Linked DNA regions of Schizosaccharomyces pombe. The gene in region 1 interacts genetically with each later gene. Each region holds a gene or a part of one and is shown in the gene's direction. Other genes may lie near its edges.

The links.
Region 2: mutations in rad26 (region 1) and pol1 are lethal when combined (synthetic lethality), as found in Schizosaccharomyces pombe (3 studies listed by BioGRID, with this or other methods).
Region 3: mutations in rad26 (region 1) and tel1 impair growth when combined (synthetic growth defect), as found in Schizosaccharomyces pombe (5 studies listed by BioGRID, with this or other methods).
Region 4: mutations in rad26 (region 1) and rad2 impair growth when combined (synthetic growth defect), as found in Schizosaccharomyces pombe (4 studies listed by BioGRID, with this or other methods).

Annotation. Positions count from the first base shown.
Region 1 is NC_003424.3:4,448,924-4,453,913, forward strand, and holds rad26 (ATR checkpoint kinase regulatory subunit Rad26), read left to right. Parts: upstream 1-1,681; 5' UTR 1,682-1,922; intron 1,923-2,002; 5' UTR 2,003-2,191; coding exon 2,192-2,941; exon of another isoform or gene 2,942-2,996; coding exon 2,997-3,662; intron 3,663-3,717; coding exon 3,718-4,146; 3' UTR 4,147-4,446; downstream 4,447-4,990. Other genes in the region: GTPase Ypt2, read right to left, coding at 1-594; atd1 (aldehyde dehydrogenase), read right to left, coding at 4,637-4,990.
Region 2 is NC_003424.3:3,428,928-3,436,750, forward strand, and holds pol1 (DNA polymerase alpha catalytic subunit), read left to right. Parts: upstream 1-2,027; 5' UTR 2,028-2,161; coding exon 2,162-2,462; exon of another isoform or gene 2,463-2,553; coding exon 2,554-6,470; 3' UTR 6,471-7,314; downstream 7,315-7,823. Other genes in the region: rpl702 (60S ribosomal protein L7b), read right to left, coding at 790-1,416, 1,708-1,833; rps1401 (40S ribosomal protein uS11), read left to right, coding at 7,360-7,779.
Region 3 is NC_003421.2:1,274,525-1,279,246, reverse strand, and holds the start of tel1 (ATM checkpoint kinase), read left to right. Parts: upstream 1-1,705; 5' UTR 1,706-1,811; coding exon 1,812-4,722. Other genes in the region: pdr16 (sec14 family protein), read left to right, coding at 1-1,374. UniProt on the Schizosaccharomyces pombe protein: Serine/threonine protein kinase which activates checkpoint signaling upon genotoxic stresses such as ionizing radiation (IR), ultraviolet light (UV), or DNA replication stalling, thereby acting as a DNA damage sensor.
Region 4 is NC_003424.3:5,389,050-5,393,187, reverse strand, and holds rad2 (FEN-1 endonuclease Rad2), read left to right. Parts: upstream 1-1,765; 5' UTR 1,766-1,926; coding exon 1,927-1,939; intron 1,940-2,008; coding exon 2,009-2,099; exon of another isoform or gene 2,100-2,276; intron 2,277-2,284; exon of another isoform or gene 2,285-2,480; coding exon 2,481-3,519; 3' UTR 3,520-3,602; downstream 3,603-4,138. Other genes in the region: SPOM_SPAC3G6.07 (uncharacterized protein), read right to left, coding at 538-915; SPOM_SPAC3G6.05 (Mpv17/PMP22 family protein 1), read right to left, coding at 3,793-3,865, 3,935-4,032, 4,097-4,138. UniProt on the Schizosaccharomyces pombe protein: Structure-specific nuclease with 5'-flap endonuclease and 5'-3' exonuclease activities involved in DNA replication and repair.

The DNA of each region.
Region 1 (4,990 bases):
CCTCTTCACCGTACGATCGTTTCCGAGGTCAACGTTATTTGCCTGGTTGGAAAATTCGTTTTCTGCATCAATCTTTTGTTTTTTTATTTCCCGGGCAAGGGTAAAAAATGCCTCATCTACATTGACGTTCGTCTTCGCACTAGCTTCTAAAAATTTAACGCCCAGCTCATCGGCTAACGCTTGTCCCTGTTCAAAGGAGACCTGACGCTGATCCTCACAATCACATTTATTTCCAATAAGGATTTTATAAACATTTTCACTAGCATGTTGTTCAACGTTACTAAACCAAGTTCGGACGTTATCAAATGATTTTTTATCAGTTACATCGTATAACAATAAAATACCCATTGCACCACGATAATAAGCAGTGGTAATGGTACGGAAACGTTCCTGGCCAGCAGTGTCCCAAATTTGGAGTTTGATACGTTTTCCATCTAGTTCAATCGTGCGAATCTTGAAATCAATTCCAATCGTTGTGATAAAAGAAGGGGTAAACGAGTCTTCCGAAAATCTCAGAAGAAGACATGATTTTCCCACACCTGAATCTCCTATGAGAAGTAATTTGATTAAATAATCGTAGGATTTTGTAGACATGGAGGAGTGTTGCTTTTGCCAGGTGGTAAGTGGTAGAATCTACTGGAGTCCCTTGAGATAATGCCGCAAAAATACACTTAAATTTATTAATTCAAGTAATGTTATTGTATAAATGGTACTAGTTTTATTTAAGTCTTTGTTTGTGTTTTTTTATGTTGAAAAAACATGACTTTCAACTTTTTTATGTACGTTTCCTAAGGGCAATAAACTCGAAGTTTTGATAAAGGAAGTCACTATTCTAGGGCACATACATACACTCTTGAGAAAGTAACAAAGATATTCACAAGAGAAATAATTCAGATTTCATGTCAGAGAAAAATCTCTGTCACTAAACAATTTACTAGCCATGGATTAATTTATACGATTTGAATGACTGGTAATATGACTAATATAGTACTGCATTGATCAATTTAATCAATGTTTATATGACTGTCATTGACCTAAACATACTTATAATTAACGCTTTAAGTGTTTTGGTTTAGATTTTTCCTTTTTATTTTTGATAATATAGTAAATGGATGGGGGAGAAACAATGAACTTAACGTTAATTCATATGATCATCATTTTAGGCTTTGTCATTGTTGTTCGAGTTGAAACAATAAACCGTTTAAACCAGCATAAACTATAAAATGTTCTACGATTAGGAGTTGGACTGTCTGAAAATAAATAACTTTTAAATTTTTCGAGGTTATGAGTATTCAATAGAGATTGAAATTAATAATTTCTACAATAAAACAAAATAACAAATTATTTCATTTTATCCATTGATATATTTGGTTAGACTACAATTCGATCTTACTTTTTTAATAATATTTTCATTTTTTTAATTCTTTTATGTTTATTAATTCGAATAAATGATGGAAGCCATTTGTCATAACACCTTAATTTAAGTATAAAAAATATTTTTCTCATGTTTTATTTTTAAAAGCATTCAAACATCATACACTTATTTTATTTATTTTTTATTATTGACAATTCAAATACTTGATTTTTGGCTAATAGTGATTTACAGTACTTGAGGTCTTATTGTCGATTACGTAACTCGTAAAACTTCAAGTTGGCTATTCGATTGCTAACCAAAATGCACTAATACGCCAAGTTCAACAAGTAAATTAAAGATCACAAGAAATACTCATAGCAGTTAAACGTATCGTTAAAGCATCTTATATAGCTGCGCATTTTGGAAAAGACTATCTTATTTATCATATCTGTTGGTGCTCTGCAAAATCAATTCATATTGCTACAAGGGTTCAATTATTCATACAGGAAGTTACGCGATTAAGCAGCCTTAGTGACTGCAGTCATATTCTGCTATTAGTGTTTCGTTTGTATGTGGTATTCATACTAGAAAGAGATATGGTTTTTCGGCCTTATCTTCTCTGCATAATATTGCTTACTAACTGTTAAGGTTTTCCAATTGCTGAATTACGATAATTACAGTTACCAAGGTTGCTGAAAGTATTTGAAACAATTTACGATTTATTATGAATTCAATTCTTTTTTACAGAATAAGAAAAACATTGGGCCCATATTACAATTTGGAATCACTTCAAACAACTATTGTTACGCATAAACGAGAGTGAAAGCTACAAACAAAATGATGGCTGATGAAAGTTTTGACTTGGAGAGTTTGGGTTCGGATGAAATATTTGAAGGCGTGAATTTAGATGAATTAGAGCAACAAGCTCAAACCCAGGTTCAAGCTCAAAGTTCTCAAGTAGTTGTACCGAGTGAAAAGCAAAAGCAAAATTTAAATCTTCCAAATTCATACACCAATTCTTCTCAAAAAGTCCGGGAATCTACCGTAAACTCACAAGCCTCATTATCCTCTAATGACCTTCGAACAGAACTTTTAATTAAGTCGGGAGAAAATGCAATTCTTCGTGCTAACCTTCTAAAACAATCCGAAGCTAATAATGCCGCCCTAGAATCGTTAAATAATTCTATAAAGCAAAAGCAAGATGAATACCAACGGAAATTAGAGGAGCTTAAAAAAGAAATTGAATACGCAAAAACGAAATCCCTATTTCATGAGCGTGAAGCACAGGATGCTATCGAAACTATGAAAAAAATGAAAAGAGATGTAAAGAATTCTCCGATTATGAAAAAATCCCATGAAGAAGATGGTGACAATAAATTGTTATCTTCTTCTGATCAGCTTGCTAAGAGCACAAAGCATGCTGCAAAAAACAGCCCTTCTAAAAAGAAGCGCAAAACAAGTGTTGCTACTGCTGAAGATGCTTCAACGGATAGTGTGAGTTCTAGTATTGCTATATCAGATGCAAGTTTGTCTTTGAGCCTGATGAAAGATTTACTTTCTCTACAAAAAAGAGAAGATTTGTATTTTGTAAGTATTTTTAAACTGTCGTGTTAAATTTTATTCCCTTTTCTTACTTTTCTAGTCTTCTAGAACTTTAGCATACGTATTTGGTGGTTGTATGCATTCATTAGAAACAATTGAAGGAGAGGAGGAAGGTGAATGTTTGTTTAATAACTTGAAAGCTCTAATATACAGTCCCGATCTATCTATGGATTCCTCCAATTATGTACAATCTGTCGTTCAAACATCATCGTCGATTTTAAATTATTCAATGAAAAAATTATTATATAATGCCTCCTTTGCTATAACATCTTTGTTTAATGCATTATTAATTTTGGACCCTAAATCATCCACCTTTATCTTTCAGGAAAATGTCGTTTCTTTAATAAGTGGTTTTCTTCTTAAGGAATACGAAAAAAGCAATTTTTTGGACTCAAAGTTTTACGTTTTAATAGATTTTCTTTATTTATACTTATCTATAGCACGTGAAAGTGCTGATGACTTTGCAAACATTACTAAAGCGGTTGATCCGTCGTTATTCGAATCCTGCATTCGAGTGCAAAATGCTCCTTCTTTGATTAAATGTGGTGTTTGTTTAATTATTAGTTCCACCACTCCTTCGTTTTGCGCTTCAGTTAACTTGTTAAATGCCGATGATAAATCCCAAGAATCACTCATGCAACTTTTCACAACTATGGCCCATATTTTAGTTGTTACTACTAGGGAAAGGATTAATTTTCCTGAATTGGTACGTTTACGAATTGTGCTTATAATCTTTGCATTGCTTATTTCTAACAAATTAGAATGAATGGATAACGCTTCATCGCTTTGTCATATCCTTTTTTACCGTGTTTATACAAATGTCTGGAAACATTGGTAAAGAGATTTTAAAAGTATGCAATCCCTTAATAGTATGCATCGGACTAGCCATCACTTGGTATCATCAGCAACTCCTTTCGTCAATGTACCCTCAAAATGAATGCGTAGAGATTTTAGTATCTCTTGTTCGGCTTCTGTACATTTTATCTTCCGAAGATTTATCATCAAAATTTATGTTAGCTGAAAATGCGTTACAACCTCGTTTCGTTTATGCAATAGCATGCTGCGCATTCGGCGATACTGAACAAAAAGCGTTTGGCAATTTGGGTGAGGAAATGTATTTTCTCACTACAGAATTGTTGGAAGTTTGCGTCTCTCCCGAAGAGCTGGAGCAGTTGTACACTAATTTTTAGATAATGAAACAGATGAATCTATTTCCCTAATTTTTCAAATGAAATAATGATACTTGTTTCTTCAGTGTTGTTCTTTCCCGTCCCGCACCCACATCCTCGCAAATTAAATACAAATCAATCTGTTTCCCCAAAGGAATGCGTACCACAAAAACATCCCCATTCCGTTCTTTTAGTAAAACTTACGGCTATATTTACCTGCAAATAAAATCATCTAGCAATTAACGAAAATGAATATATTAAAGTACCACTAACATAAAGAATCATCACTATGTAAATTCAATAAAATGCATTTGAAAGTTCAAATATCAAAACCGTTTTGATTCATAATAAAGAAAATCCGTCATAGAAGAGTTTCAAGAAAAACTGTAAACATTCATAACATAAAGAGAAAAATCCAATAATTCTCTTCACTAGAGTTTTTCTTCATTCTTTATCCATTGAATGCATATTTTTTTATTTTTTTTACAAAAAATATTTGCGTCTGATTTCCTTAAATGGGAGAATCCATTCCCAGGTTGATGTGAACAGCTTTTGTTTGAGTATAATTGGTAAGACCGTAAGAGCCCAATTCGCGACCGATGCCACTCTCCTTATAACCACCAAAGGGAATTTGGTGATGAAGTAAGTTATAACAATTCACCCAAACAGTACCGGCTTCAAGAGCATTGCTGACCTTGATGGCATTGGTAATATTGTTAGTGTGTACACCAGCAGCTAAACCATATGTACTGTTGTTACCGCGACGGATGGCCTCCTCGATGGTCTTGAATTTAATGACGGCAAGAACGGGTCCAAAAATTTCCTCCTTACCGACAGCCATGTCCTCGGTAACGTTGGAGAGAAT
Region 2 (7,823 bases), 1.0 Mb from region 1:
TCCCTACTCTATTAATATTCAAGTTTCCCTGTAAATTAAGAATGTTATGCCATAAGGATTAACATAAATTTCTCTTTCAAACGATATACGATTCAGAATTGTCTCAATCCCGACAAGATTGGGTTTTGTTATCCATTTATTGGCTTATTTATCCATTAAAAAATGTTCGGACTATCTTTTTATCTTTTGGGCAATTTTTATAATTGCATTGGTGCATACATTTTACATGTATACTACTCGCGCCTTCCAATAATTTTATTTAATTTATTTTTATAGATTCACTTTCTCATCAGATATATTTATCCCTTGCTCAGATTATACACTTATTCTTCATTGCTTCTAATATTAGTGTTGAATATTTAGACTAATCTTTCCATATTAATAATATACGCAAGGAAGCTGAAGCAAGATAATATGAATTATTCGTTAAATATGTATGTAAAGTCAAAGTAGAAAAATTTACAGATTTTCTACATTAAAAAAATATTCTGGCTGTTTTTGAAGACACCATCAAATACCCATACAACTTAATAAATAACAAGTTTAAAGTCGAATTTTCTTCAATTTTTAACAATCAACCTTATCGCATTTCGCCAAACAAGATCGTAAATATCTATACAATACAGTGAGCCTTGCATTTCCAAGTTAATCAATTCCATACCACCATAAATACTTGCTATAAAGTATTTGTAAATTACAAACTTCTTTTTTATTAAATACGTAAATTGACAAACCTAATATAGAGTACACACTATGGGCACAAGAAAACCGAAAAGCCAAATTTTATACTTAAAGCATCTTTTGAACTAAACCATTGATATGCTCATCACGCTTGCCAGCATCACCGCCCTCAATAAAATGCTTGAACTTACGTTCTCTCCAGCCTCCCAAAGGAGAAGAAAGCTTGAAGGGCCAGAGGAAGTTGGCAGCTTGCTTGAAGTTAGGACCAACAGTGTAAATTTCATGAATCAAATCCTCAACAGATAAGATGGAATATTTACCCAAGGCGGCTTCAATGATAGCGTTATCAGACAAAGGAATACGTTGCTTGTTGACCTTACCAAAACCACGTTTGTAGATCAACTCACGAACAGTTTTGTGGTTAGGAATACCATAAGTAACGTAAGGCTCAACGACTTGGAGCATTTCCTTAATAGCCTTGTTGAATTTGACAAAAATGCCATTGTTAATTTGCAAAAGACGGAGCAATTGCATGATCTTACGAGCCTTGGGAGGAATATTGTTAATACCACGGATACGAACAACAAAGATCAACTTGGGCTCATGAGGAACAAAGTAGTTGCCCTCGGCACGAGCCTTACGAGCAAGTTCAATCTGCTCACGCTCAGCAGCACGGTATTCAGCTTCATAAGCCTCAGCACGTTTAGCTATGAGTTCACGCTTCTTTTGGCGAGCCTAGGTTTGAATTAGTAAAAATCTCAAATTGACTAAATTATTTCAGATTGCATAGTATGGTGAACTTAACACTAACTACGTTTTAAGTAAACGGTTCTCATAGTACCATCTAATAAAAGGAGTACAAGAGTAATTAAACTGCAAAATCAACCCAAAACATCCTTTCATCAGCCATTTACTCGATTTTTTTATTCAAACATCTTAGAATTAATGCAGAAAAAAACAATCGTGCTTCGTTTACCATATTTGCTAACCGTAAAAGCTTTAAGCAAAAGTGGGTGTTAAACTTACAGACTTCTTTTCAGCAGCTGCAGCGACAATCTGTTCGCGAGATTGTTTCTGAGCCTTAGTCTTCTTGAGAAGAGACTCGGGAGCAAAGATAGAGGCTACGCTAGGGACGGTCGAGGAGGCAACCATTTTCGACGAGATAGTATTCGTGCTTCAAGTATTTCCCGTATTAGTTTACATCTTGTGACTGTCTTTACAACCCTAACCTATTCCGGTTTAACTCTCTTGTGGTGGTGAGCTAGGGTCAGTATTACTTGTTAACGCTCTCGTACGCGCTGTAGCGATGCATTTTAATTAGTGACCGCGTACTATTGTTTACATCCAGAGCACACACATAAGGAGACGCGAGCTTTCGCGACCATCTTCCGTCTTAAGAGTATTTTTATTGATTTTTTAATTTAATTTATTTTTTTGAAAGAAGATATATTCGACTTTAAAGTCTTCTCGTGAACTTATCATGAGAAAGAGAAACGCGGGGATAAAGCCGTCTCAAAGATTTGCTGAGTTACGGGCTCTTCGTCAAGCCGGAAAAACAAGGGCTAGCACATACGAAAGCAAAGAAAATGAAGAATTATATGACAATGTTTCAGAGGAAGAATATCGCAAGATTGTTCGACAACGACTGGATGAGGATGACTTTGTCGTAGACGATAACGGGGCTGGTTATGTGGATAATGGATATGATGAGTGGGATCAAAGTCATTACAGTGACGAGGATGATGAAAATGAAAAAGGATCGTCTGGTCGAAAAAGAAAGAGTATGTTTATTGCACTGTTACATGTGTCTATATTAAGGCACAAGCTAGCGTCTATTTTATAGGGTATGCCATTTCACTAACAGTAATTTAGAATCGAAGAACGTTCTAGCTGAACCTAATCAACAAATTGGCGCGTTTTTTAAAGCAAATGCTATCCAACCTGCTTCACGTATCGCAAATCGAAAAAATAATGAGAAGGAAGATGAATTCATGGCTGAAATTCTTGGCTCAATCGACCAAGATATTCCCGAACGCCTCTCGACAAAAAAGGGAAATCGTTCTCATACTACATCAAATGCCAAACGTCGCTCTCAGAAAGCTGCTTCCTCAATAAGTACAACTAACGTTGTTTCTTCTGATCCCAAAAAATACATCCCAGAAACTGTACCTTCAACTCCTCAACCTGCTAGCAGTCTTCCTATTCCCAGCTCCCCACCTGCTGCACTCGAGACAGAAGAAAATGTCGACAGTCAACCAATGGAATTAGACGAACCAGAACTCCCCGTTGGATCTGATGCACCCATTATTGACGTTGAAGAATCTATTGCCATGAAGCCATTGATGAGTCATGATCAGGTCGATGACACCGCATCGCTTTCAAAAGCTACTATTTCTCAGCAACCTCTATCACCAATGACACCTTTATCTTCGGAACTTGACGTCTCTGCTTTTTCTGAAATTAATTCTAAGATAAAGAATGTAGATGTTCCTGCTTCGTCCTATTCATCTCCAATTTCAAAAGTATCACCATCTGATGTTACTGAAGAGGATGGTTCTTTGTTTTTTTTTTGGATGGATTATACCGAGATGTACGGCTCATTGTGTCTATTTGGCAAAGTATATGATAAAGCTACTAAACAGTATGTTTCGTGCTTTCTCAAGGTCGATGGGATAATGCGTTCTTTATACTTCCTTCCCCGCCCATCATCATCCTCAGTTTCTGAAGATTCTATTGCAGCGCAAACTAAAGATGTTTACGACGAAGTAGCCAATTTGTTATCTAAAAGGGGTGTCAAGGAATGGAAATCAAGAGTCTCCAAGTATAAATATGCTTTCGAATTAGAAGATGTTCCTCGGACCGCTGATTACTTAGAGGTAATTTATTCCTATTCTTATCCTGCTCTGCCTACTGATTTGACTGGTTCTTCTTTCTCACACGTTTTTGGAACTAATACCGCCTTATTCGAGCAGTTTGTCTTAAGTAGAAGAGTTATGGGTCCTTGTTGGCTGAAAATACAACAACCAAATTTTGATGCTGTAAAAAATGCTAGTTGGTGCCGGGTCGAAATAGGATGTTCGTCACCTCAGAACATTTCTGTTTCTTTCGAAAAAAATGAAATTACTTCGAAAACGCCTCCAATGACGGTGATGAGTCTTGCATTTAGAACGCTGATTAACAAAGAGCAAAACAAGCAAGAAGTCGTTATGATTAGTGCTAGGATTTTTGAAAATGTTGACATTGAAAAAGGTTTGCCTGCAAATGACATGCCCTCGTATTCCTTTTCGTTGATTCGTCCTTTGAAGCAAATCTTTCCAAATGGTTTTGAAAAGCTAGCTCGCCAGCACAAATCTTCCATCTTTTGTGAGAGGTCTGAAGTTTCGTTGCTTAATAATTTCTTAAATAAAGTTCGTACATACGATCCTGATGTTTATTTTGGGCATGATTTTGAAATGTGCTACTCAGTATTGTTATCTAGACTGAAAGAACGAAAAATTCATAATTGGAGTAGTATTGGTCGACTTCGAAGAAGCGAATGGCCACGTTCGTTTAATAGAAGCTCTCAACAGTTCGTAGAAAAACAGATTATTGCTGGAAGGCTTATGTGTGATTTATCTAACGACTTTGGTCGATCTATGATTAAAGCCCAATCTTGGAGTTTATCTGAAATAGTACTTAAGGAGCTTGACATTAAACGTCAAGACATTAATCAAGAGAAGGCATTGCAATCATGGACCGATACGGCTCACGGCTTATTGGATTATTTAGTTCACTGTGAAATTGACACATTCTTTATTGCTGCCGTCGCATTCAAAATTCAGATGCTTCAGCTATCAAAGAATTTAACAAACATTGCTGGTAACTCTTGGGCTAGAACATTAACAGGTACCAGAGCGGAAAGAAACGAATACATTCTTCTTCACGAATTTAAAAAAAATGGATATATTGTCCCGGATAAACAACAAAGTATTAGAAGACATGCTGAAGCTTTTGGTGCAGAAGACGGTCTGCAAGAAGAATCTCTTGGCAAGAAAAAAGATAAATACAAAGGTGGATTGGTTTTTGAGCCTCAAAAAGGACTTTATGAAACTTGTATTTTGGTGATGGACTTCAATAGTTTATATCCAAGTATTATCCAAGAATACAATATTTGTTTTACTACTGTTGACAGATCTCCTTCTAACTCTGATTCCGACGATCAAATTCCCGATACTCCATCTGCCTCGGCCAATCAAGGTATATTTCCTCGATTAATTGCAAATCTTGTGGAACGTCGACGCCAAATTAAAGGACTATTAAAGGATAACTCTGCCACTCCCACACAAAGGCTGCAATGGGATATCCAACAACAAGCCCTGAAGTTAACTGCAAACTCCATGTATGGCTGCCTGGGATATACGAAGTCTCGATTCTATGCACGTCCGTTGGCTGTTCTGATTACTTATAAGGGTAGGGAAGCCTTGATGAATACTAAAGAACTTGCGGATCAAATGGGACTTCAAGTAATTTATGGCGATACCGATTCAGTTATGCTCAATACGAACGTAACAGACAAGAACCATGCTCTTCGAATTGGTAATGAATTTAAGGAAAAGGTAAATGAACGTTATAGTAAACTAGAAATTGATATCGATAACGTTTATCAGCGCATGCTTCTGCATGCTAAGAAAAAGTACGCGGCTTTACAGCTTGATTCTCAAGGGAAGCCCAATTTAGATGTAAAGGGCTTGGATATGAAACGTCGTGAGTTTTGTACTTTAGCTAAGGAGGCTAGTAAATTTTGTTTGGATCAAATTTTATCTGGTGAATTAACGGAAACCGTAATTGAAAATATTCATTCTTATTTAATGGATTTTTCCGAAAAAATGCGTAATGGGAAGTTTCCGGCTAACAAATTTATAATATTCAATCGTTTGGGAAAAAATCCAGAAGATTATCCAAATGGAAAGACGATGCCATTCGTGCAGGTGGCTCTTAAAAAGAAAGCTAGAGGAGAGAATGTTCGTGTAGGCGATGTTATTCCTTTCATTATTGCTGGTAGTGACGCTGACGGACACCCTGCCGACCGAGCTTATAGTCCGCAAGAAATAATGAATACAAATTCCACATTAGTTATTGACTACAATTATTATCTTTCGCATCAAATTCTCCCTCCTATCGAGCGTGTTATAGCACCGATTGAAGGAACAAACCGTGCTCGCTTAGCTGAATGCTTAGGTTTGGATGCTCGAAAATACTACTCACATGAGACTTCTGAATCATCTGCGTTTCAGCGGTATGAGTCTACGCTCACTGATGACCAGTGTTTTATTAACGTTTCCCCATTACTATTGAAATGTCCATCCTGTAATGCTACATCATTTTCCCTACGATCTGTAAAGTCCTTGAAGGAAACGTTGTATGCGAATACAGTAGAATGTGATTGTGGATATGAGTATTCGGACTTTACTATTATTCTTCAATTCTCATCTCAACTCAGAGATTTTATTAATCTTTATTATGAAGGAATTTTAGTATGTGATGATTCTTCTTGTGGTAATCGAACACGACAAATGAGTGTGTATGGAAAGCGTTGTTGTAACAAATCATGTCGTGGAAGCGTTCATTTTGAATATAATGATGAACAATTATATAACCAGATTAAGTTCCTGCTAAAAGCTGTTCAAACAACCACCGGGGCTACCAGAAATGGAATCATTAGATGCAATGCCATCAACAAAAATATCTCTCGAATAATGAACAAAAATGCGCGTGAATTTGTAGATATGGGACTGATATTTTCATCGTGAAGCTTTAATTCATTCTACCCGTTTAAGTAATCTACTTGACACCTCGAACAGATATTTGCTCATGCAGTACAAGAAATGTTGATGGGAATACCTGTTTCAAAGACTTGGGAATTGCCAATAATTATTATCAGTACTATGTTTTACAACACAACAAAGCTACATGTTACATTTTTGGGCGTATGCAACTCTGATATAATTTGTTCTAATACTAAGGTCGTTTGTGATTTGAAATTCGTGATTCTACAATTGACGCTCTGGATAGCAAAGTACTCACTACATGTTTGACTTATTACGCACATCCTAAATTTAACCTAAACACCATTATGACACGAGATATACCATTGATGAAACTCGTAAAGCTGGTGGTAATACGGTCAATAAATTATGTGAAAGACCTTAACCTTCTCAAGTGGAGACATTAAACATTCGAACAATTTGAGAATTAGGGACTTTGTCATGACACAAGAAACTGATTTACTGTGCGTTTTTTTGCTCAAGATTATTTTGGTGTTTCAATCTTTTACACTCTCTTCAACAAGTCTTTACATATTCTATGAACGTATTTTATAATTCACACCTACAAAAGATATTTTTTTATATATCACTCGTCTTGTTCAACTTTTTGCATTTCTTTTAGAACACTATAATTTTAATTACTCATAATAAATTTCAGAATTACGATTTGTACAAGGTGCATCGCTATCAATACTTCGTTATTATTTTTTTACGCCCAGCATTATTTTTGCTAATATTTCTTGGACTAATATGCCAAGCTTAAACCCTACCCTAAATTGACTGCTTTTTTATTAGAGAATTAAATTGCAAGCACATTTAGAATGTTAACTTGCGCAGTGTCTCAAACGCATCTGTAGGGAGGAAAGATATCAAAATGGCAACCAACGTTGGGCCTCAAATTCGTTCCGGTGAGCTTGTTTTCGGTGTTGCTCACATCTTTGCTTCTTTCAACGATACTTTCGTTCACATCACTGATTTGACCGGCAAGGAAACCATCGTTCGTGTTACTGGTGGTATGAAGGTCAAGACTGATCGTGATGAGTCTTCTCCATACGCTGCTATGTTAGCCGCCCAAGACGCTGCTGCTAAGTGCAAGGAAGTTGGTATCACTGCTCTTCACATCAAGATCCGTGCTACTGGTGGTACTGCTACAAAGACCCCGGGTCCCGGTGCTCAAGCTGCTCTTCGTGCCTTGGCCCGTGCTGGTATGCGTATTGGTCGTATTGAGGATGTTACTCCCATTCCTACCGACTCTACCCGTAGAAAGGGTGGTCGTCGTGGTCGCAGACTGTGAGCGTTTTCGTCATTGCTTTACAATTTTTATGTTTGGTTGTGCGA
Region 3 (4,722 bases), on another chromosome or scaffold:
CCTGCCTTGAAGTCTAAAGCATCTTTTGAGTTCCCTAAGGAATTAGATCCTGATGGTACTTGGAATGCACCAATTCCTTATCCTGATGCAAATTGTCCTATGGCTCCCACTTATCGGAATTTGACTTCTGAACAAGAAGAAATGTATGAAGAAGTACTTAAATATTGTTTGGAATTAAAAGAGATTCCTGTAGCGTCTAATTCTAGCAAGAAAACGGATTTGATTGAGTTGGAGCGTCTTTGGCTAACACGCGAATGCATCCTTAGATATTTGCGTGCTACTAAATGGCACGTTTCCAATGCAAAAAAGCGTATTGTTGATACTTTGGTATGGCGTCGTCACTTCGGTGTTAATAATATGGATCCTGATGAAATCCAAGAGGAGAATGCAACTGGTAAGCAAGTATTGCTAGGTTACGACAAGGACGGTCGTCCCTGTTTATACCTATATCCAGCTAGGCAAAACACTAAAACCTCACCACTGCAGATTCGGCATCTGGTTTTTTCATTGGAGTGTGCTATTGATCTTATGCCTCCAGGAGTAGAGACATTGGCTTTGTTGATTAATTTCAAGTCTTCGTCCAATCGTTCAAATCCCAGCGTTGGTCAAGGTAAAGAGGTACTGAATATTTTGCAAACTCATTATTGTGAGCGTCTTGGAAGAGCACTTGTTATTAATATTCCTTGGGCTGTATGGGGTTTTTTTAAATTGATATCTCCATTTATTGACCCTATTACACGAGAGAAGTTAAAGTTCAATGAACCGTTGGATCGTTATGTCCCTAAGGATCAATTAGATTCGAATTTTGGTGGATCTCTTCATTTTGAATATCATCATGAGAAGTACTGGCCCCAGTTGGTGGAATTGTGCAAGTCACGTCGTCTTGGCATCTTGGAAAAATGGAGGAAGATGGGATCTAAAATAGGTACAAGCGAATGGGATTTGAAGGGTGGAGAGGAATATGTTGAATTAATGCAACAGTATGTACGTCCTTCATTGACAAATCGTTCATCTTCTCCAACTGTTACTCCAACTGTAAATACTGATAGACAGCCAAAGACTTTAACCAATAGTGCTGATGAGCTCTCTCCTCAAAAAAGACGAGTTGAGAATCCTAAGCCCGTTGTCAAAGATGAGGGGCCTGTTTCTATCGTTGAAGATGAGGAATCGACGCCTGTTGTTACAAAAAAGGAGGACTCTATTCCTGTTGCTCAATCCACCAAAGCTGATGCTGGGCTCGATGCCGAGAATGATCTTCTTCCCAAATCTGGTTCCGGTGTTTCAGAAACACCAGCTTTTTCGCATGCACGAGATGTTTCTACGGCTTCATTTAGCGACGCTGTTTCGTTTATCACCGCGGATAGCATAGAATAGTTTTTCTTAAGCTCTCGAAACCTCTTCACTCTTTTCTCTTATACTTTATTCGCAATTGAGCTAGTTCTATGATTTCTTTTTTTACAGCCTTGAAAACTTTTAATAGAGGGCTTTTGAATAATTCGGTGCTGAAAAAAGAAAATCCACTATTACTGTACATATTTAGCTAACAGTAGAGTCATTGATATTTCCAAAGAAGATCATTTGTTTTAATTCCTTTTTTCTTATATAGTTGATAGTTTCGTGCTTTTTAGTTTCAATAAGAAGAATTACCACACTTCAATTTATAACTTGGCATCTGTAAAATTCGTACACGCTAAATGAACCTTCCAAATTCCAAAAGTTGGAGACGCGTAACCTTTTACTCAATTATCAGTTTACGCCAAATATGTTAATATATTAATGAAGAAAAGATAACTTTTACTCGATGTAATACTATGACTTCTCTAAATGACATCGTTAATAAGTTGTCTTCATCAAAAATCAAAACACGATCAGATGCTCTACAAAATCTTCGCAGCTACATAATTTACTCCAGAAATGGAAATTCGCTAAATCAGGAAGATGCTTTAATAATCGAAAAGGCCATAAAGCGAGCATTCGAACTTGAATGGCAAATTTCTGCTAATCATGGTAAACGTCAAATTTCCAAAGCTTCCCAAGAGCAGAAGCTTCAAGATATTAGCTATTTGTTAAGAACATGTGTTGAATCTTATATTTTATTATTTAGGGAGCCTCATATTTTAGCGCTTCTAGATATAATTCTAAGACATACTTTCACAGCTAATGGTTCTATATGTGAGGTAGTCTGTTTGAATTTTTCTAAGGCTCTTCGGCTACTATTATCCCATTCTCCTCATTTGCATCATCTTCGTTTCTCGGATTGGCAATCACTAGTTTCCTATTGTTGTCAAGCTATTGAAAAACTAAGTATAGCTGAAGAAACTTATGTTAGTGATAGTGAAGAAGAGCCAATAAGCCAAAAAAACTATCAAGAAATATCTATCTGGAAATCGCACGATGTTATAAGAGTAAAGCAAGAAGTCGTTGAGCTCATTTACGTTATGCGTTCTCTTGTTCAATGGTATGCGGCTCCAATTAATTTTGTTAGTGAGCAACTGCTGAAATTTTTTGAGTTCTTTTTTTATGCTTACACGGAAGAAACAGATGCGCATCTACCAGCTTTGCAGTGTTTGTTTCAGTTATGTGCATATGCGATCCCCAATTGTAATGATTATTCCGCAAGCGTTGTTTTATTAGTCTTTAAGATTCTTATAAACTCTGATAAATGGAAGCGTCTGGATTTAAGATTGCAGCTTATACAATGCTTAGCCATTTCTTATCCACTTTGGTCCAATTCAGAAACATGGGATCCCCATCGTTCCATTAGATCTTTTAATTTAGATCTTCTTAACTCTTCGTTTTTTTCTTTAAAAAATTTCTTAAATTTTTTTGGAAAACGCTCCTCATTATCGCTTGCGAATTTTAGATTCCATACAGTTGAGCCTAAGAACAACATTGCAAAACTTTACGATCCACGGCTACACCTTTTTTTTTCTCTTAGACATAATTCTTTCTTTGAATCTTACTTTATTTATTTTTTTCTTGCAAAACTAATTCTCCTCAAAAAAACCGTGTTGTCCTTAGCAAGCACGGAGCAAGCCAACAAAAAGCAGAAAACATGTTCTCAAATAGAGGAACTGCTTTTGCAAGCTGAGCTAGCCAATATCTCGGCTTCCTCTTTTTCATTGCAACTCATGGTAATTATCACTGCTATTTCTGACAATCTAACAAACGATGATCTATTGTCAATTCAAAAAATGAGTCTTAACTTTACTGAGAAAAAAAATGAACTTCAAAGCTGGTCTTTTTTTATATTGTTCAACATTTGTTACAACAAAGCTTACTCTTCGATGCTTACGACTTCATGTAAAAAGGAAATTTTGGCTGCTGCTTCTCGTGGTCTCCTGAATTCTGTTACGTCTCCTGTATGCTATCAAATTTTAACTTATTTTAACATGTATCGGCCTTTGTGCTTCGCGAGCATTTTTCCTTTCATAAAGCAACAGTTTATTTTATTTAATGATTACTCGCCAATGCTTTCATATGAAGCCATTGATTACTGGAAATCTCTGTACATATTACTTAATGAAAACCTATTTGTTGGTCAAAGCTCTTTTAAATCTGTGTTTCTAAAATGGTTGAAGTGGCATCTATATCATTTGTTCAGCAAAGAGGGTGAACTACCATTTTTCTCATTTACCGATTCTTCTATTATCATTTTTGATTTGTTAATGATGATCTTCTATAGACCGTTGTCATTATCTTATATCACCACAGAAATACGATCACCTTTCGAACGTAATTTGTTTCACCTCAAAGAAGCATGGTCGCCTGTTACGCTTCGTTTTCCTTATACTACTGACGAAATATGTAAACAGTCTACAGAAGGATGCTATCCTTTCAATAGTAACCATACTATTGACTGTGATAGTTTGCAAAATGTCATTAAAATGTTGGAGAGCTCGATAGACGAAATTAGCTCAGCATCTTATGACAAAGATGAGCTTGACAAGGAAACCCCAAGCTTCGAAGCAGTTATGATATTTTCTCAGATATCATTTTTATGTGGCTTTCTAAATTGTTTTATCCAGAAAAAAGGTATTCATAATGTTACTCCTAACAATCTTGTCATTTTTAAAAATTTATTCCCTGAAGTCCTTTCTTTCGTTAAGTCTAATCACAGTTATGACCCAATAATAAATTGCATCTCTACTAATTTGCAGTTTACTATTTCTGATGAGCCAAAACATCTTCGGTATGAAATTGGAAGCGACTTAATTCGTTCAACTCATTTTCGAGACAGTAATCCGCTCAAAACCTTGGTTCTTTATATAATGGATATGGCTTCTAAAAACGTATTCATAAAGCCTCAAGAATTTGATCACGATGAGTATTTCTCCCAGGAGGAAGAAGATATTTATCGGCCAGAAAATTTAATCAGGAATCATCAAATACTTGGTTTGATGGAAGGATCGCTTGAGCAAATACGGAATACTGATCTTTTTATTTTACAAAAATATATCGACTACTTTTCTAGTCATCCTCATGACAGCTTAATTAATATTCTTCATTTGTATCCCATTGAAACTTTTTGTTTTGGTATGTCTGCAATTGGTGCATATTTCCTAGATGTTGCGCGGACATCCGAACCTATTTTCTACAAATGTCTTGAAATACTGGCTCAAAAAATTTTAATGAATTATGATTATGAAAGAGACGAAGTCTATCTAATGATTTTTATTAAAATATTTCAAAAATGTGTTCATTCTAAACTTCAGTTCACGG
Region 4 (4,138 bases), 940 kb from region 1:
TCAAACCTAGTGCATCAATAATCGAGAATAAAACTCGAATAACATTTTGAACCCTTTTTGCAATGAACAAGATTCATTCTTTGTAATCAAATGTAAATTCGAAAAGTAATGTAATATTAAGGAATGTTTCCTTAACTCGATTTGGGATCAACAAATAGAGGTTCAACTTTGATTATATCACTGTGCATACTATAACATGTATTTTTTTAAGTTTGTTTTTTCAAAAGGTTACAGATCGATTTACTAAGCTACAAAATTCAAAAAACTTAAAAAATTCAATACTTGCAAAGCAAAGAAGCAGAAAAAAAGATCCAAAAAAAAAGGATTACATTTATTTTGTTGAATTTATTATTTTTTTTAAAAAATAAATAACTTAACTAATGAATCACTATTTAGCAATTCTCTTTAGATTTGAATCCATAAAAATCATAACAATAAGCGAAGCAATATAACTGGTATTTGCTTATAAAATGAGCGATTCATGCAAGCAGAAAGTTCTTTAAAAACAAAAGAAAACATTAAAATAGATTTAGCACTTCACTTTGGCGTTATAATATCTCCATGTTTTTTTACATGATCACGATACACTCGATATGGTAAAACCAGTGTATACTTTGGCATAACAAAATCATCTCCAACAAACGATTCATCCTCAACATATGTTTTAAGAAATTGTAACACTTCGGTTTGATCAGCTTTAGTGAGGTCGATGTATATATACAACAAATATGAAAATTGGAAAATGGTATTAGCAGTTGCTTTATAAACCACAAACGATTGGTAATATTGTCTACCTTTGTTATAATAGTCTATAACATCAGGAATAACACTGTTTTTTTCCTTTTCATTAGAGACATCTTCTCCTTCGTAATCGGCAGGTGCCAATGTTAAGTATGGCGAGCTTTGTTCAGACATTGTTCTTGCTTTCACAGGTAAATTGAGGTTGCACTGGGATATGAGTATACTGTAAGCAAGGCGCGCAGCATCTCATATAATATTCTTTCAACGAGCCGACATTAACTAGAATTTGCCAACGTAAGATCAGAATGACGTTTTGATCCGCACGAAATACGTCGGTAAAGGAACCTTATTAGTAGAATATTGCAATATTGTTCGTTGTCTGCATACTACACAAGCGATACCATAAACTGGTTACGATTATATTTTCGACGATTCAGTAGCAGATATGGCGAGTTTCAAATAATACTCTCTTGGTAAAATGCCTATTATCCAACATTGTTCCATGAATCAAGGCTATTGTTCTATTAAAAATATTACGTTGAGCAATTCAAGCGGCTTTCTCACTACGGTATCTCAGTACCGTAAAACCACTGGTTTATTCTCATAAAAACAACCTTATGTTACACAGACTTACATCTAGCCAAGTCAATAGGGTTTCGGTAAAGTTCCAATGTACTTTTCATCCTATTCCTTATCCGGAAAAAGGAATCGATCATTTTTCCAGAATTTCTGATGGTACATTACCTTTTCGAGATCTTTTCGTGGTAGTAAACTGCGAGGTGATTTACATTTTACAGCCGTGCTGCCACCAAAACCACAAGAACCTCAATTTGGTAATCTTAAAATTTCTAATTTGTTCCTTCTAGAAATCCTTTTTTAAAAGCTATAATACATGGGAATTTTCAGTATAAATTGGCTGGTCCCTTTCCTTGTATTTACATTCTTTGGTCGATCATTCTTTATGGAAAAGTAACATGTGATTTACTGAATCGACTCTTTGACGTGGATACTACTGCTGGTAGCTAAGAACCTTTGTGTGAGTGAGCAAAGTAAAAACTGCTCGATTTTGAGGAGTATAATACATCTAGCAAAAATTGAAAATTTAATAAGAAGCTCTAAGCTAGTTTTGGAGAAAGCGTTGTTCGGGATCTCGTAATATACATAAATAAGTATATTTGCTAAACGATGGGAATTAAAGGTATGTTACATTTAACGCTAAAGAGTTTATCTTTTACTCTCTCCTTTACTTAAAACTAATCTGGGTTAGGTTTGGCTCAAGTACTAAGCGAGCATGCCCCAGCCAGTGTCAAACATAATGATATTAAAAATTATTTTGGACGGAAAGTGGCTATAGATGCGTAAGTTGAAAGACTAAATAGAAAGCGAAAGTCTCAGTTGACTTGGCAAAGACTGTATGGCTTCTGATTTTGTTTGTAAATATGGGTTAAACACTATGGTGTACAGTTTTTATTGCTAAAGAGCAAAGCTCTATGTCTTAACTCGAGACAAAGATATGATACAAACGAAATATAGAATAAAGGATGAATAAATTTTCACTAACAGTGACTCGGTTAAATTCATTGCTCAAGGTATTTTACATCATTTCTTTACTTTGTTGGTTCTTGAAGTTGCAAACACTAATAGGTCAAACTCTATTCAACTGATTCTTTCCTTTTCGAAGGGTTGATTTATAAAGTCTTCTTGAGGTACTTTATTAATGCTAATTTCGTATATTACAGGTCAATGAGTCTTTATCAATTTTTAATTCAAGTTCGCAGTCAAGATGGTCAACAGCTAATGAATGAACAAGGCGAGACTACTAGTCATTTAATGGGAATGTTTTATCGTACACTCCGAATTGTCGATAATGGAATAAAGCCTTGCTTTGTCTTTGATGGAAAACCACCAACATTGAAGTCAGGGGAATTAGCTAAACGTGTGGCCCGACATCAAAAAGCACGAGAGGATCAAGAGGAGACAAAAGAGGTTGGTACAGCTGAAATGGTGGATCGGTTTGCCAAACGTACGGTCAAAGTTACTCGGCAACATAATGACGAAGCAAAACGTTTACTAGAGTTAATGGGAATTCCCTTCGTTAACGCACCCTGTGAAGCAGAAGCTCAATGTGCCGCTTTAGCCCGTTCAGGAAAAGTTTATGCTGCTGCTTCTGAGGACATGGACACATTGTGCTTCCAAGCTCCTGTACTTTTGAGACACCTGACATTTAGTGAGCAAAGAAAGGAACCAATTAGTGAGTATAACATAGAAAAAGCATTGAATGGTTTAGATATGTCGGTGGAGCAGTTTGTAGACTTGTGTATTCTTTTGGGTTGTGACTATTGTGAACCTATTCGGGGAGTTGGCCCCGCTAGAGCCGTCGAGTTAATTAGGCAATACGGGACTCTCGATCGCTTTGTCAAAGAGGCGGATCGATCAAAATATCCTATTCCGGAAGATTGGCCTTATGAAGATGCCAGAAGACTGTTTTTGGATGCAGAAGTACTTCCTGGTGAAGAGATTGAGTTGAAATGGAAAAGTCCCGATGCAGATGGCATTATACAATTTCTGGTTAAGGAAAAAGGTTTCAATGAAGATCGTGTTAAATTGGGGATCAATAGACTAGAAAAAGCCTCAAAGACAATTCCACAGGGTCGTCTTGATTCCTTTTTTAAACCAGTCCCTTCTTCTCCCAAAAAACCTGTAGATACAAAGAGCAAAGGATCAGCAAAAAGGAAAAGAGATTCAAATAAGGGTGGTGAAAGCAAGAAAAAGCGTTGAAAACGAAGTCATGTAATTGTTATTAATCTAAAAAAAAAACTTAAAAAAAGCAAGACGCATGTAGATAAAACTATACTACGCTATAATAATAGTAAATCTGTTTAATGCATGACTTTTACGTAAAAATAATTAGTCTAAGGAGGTAATTCTGATCATATAAGCTAATAATGGTATACAAAACTCGTTTCTAAGTAATAATATGCCAAAAAACAATCTGGCTGATACAACTCAAAAAACGAAAAGCAGTGGATTCGGACGATGGATCAAAGATCTTTAAAATAGTTCAATTTCTTGTGAGCCAGATTCTTGCATTGAAGAAGCGTTCTTCAAACTAAGAAATATGTTCCTAATTGAAATTAGCAAAGGCGAAAAAACTAGGAGCAAAAATGCTTTATGTCTCTTGGAAACAACATACCAAAAAATAGCAACCGTACAAGCAAATGGCATTTGGTATTGTAAGGGCATTAGCCAAAAGTTCACAGTTTGAAAGAAGGGCCAGACCATATAATTAGCCTTTAAATGTTAGCAACAATACAACAGAACCATTTAAGAAAGAAAATTTAGAAATTAAGTGTACCTTTAAAGTGGGCCAGAAAACAGCTTGAAGTTTATCGTAGGC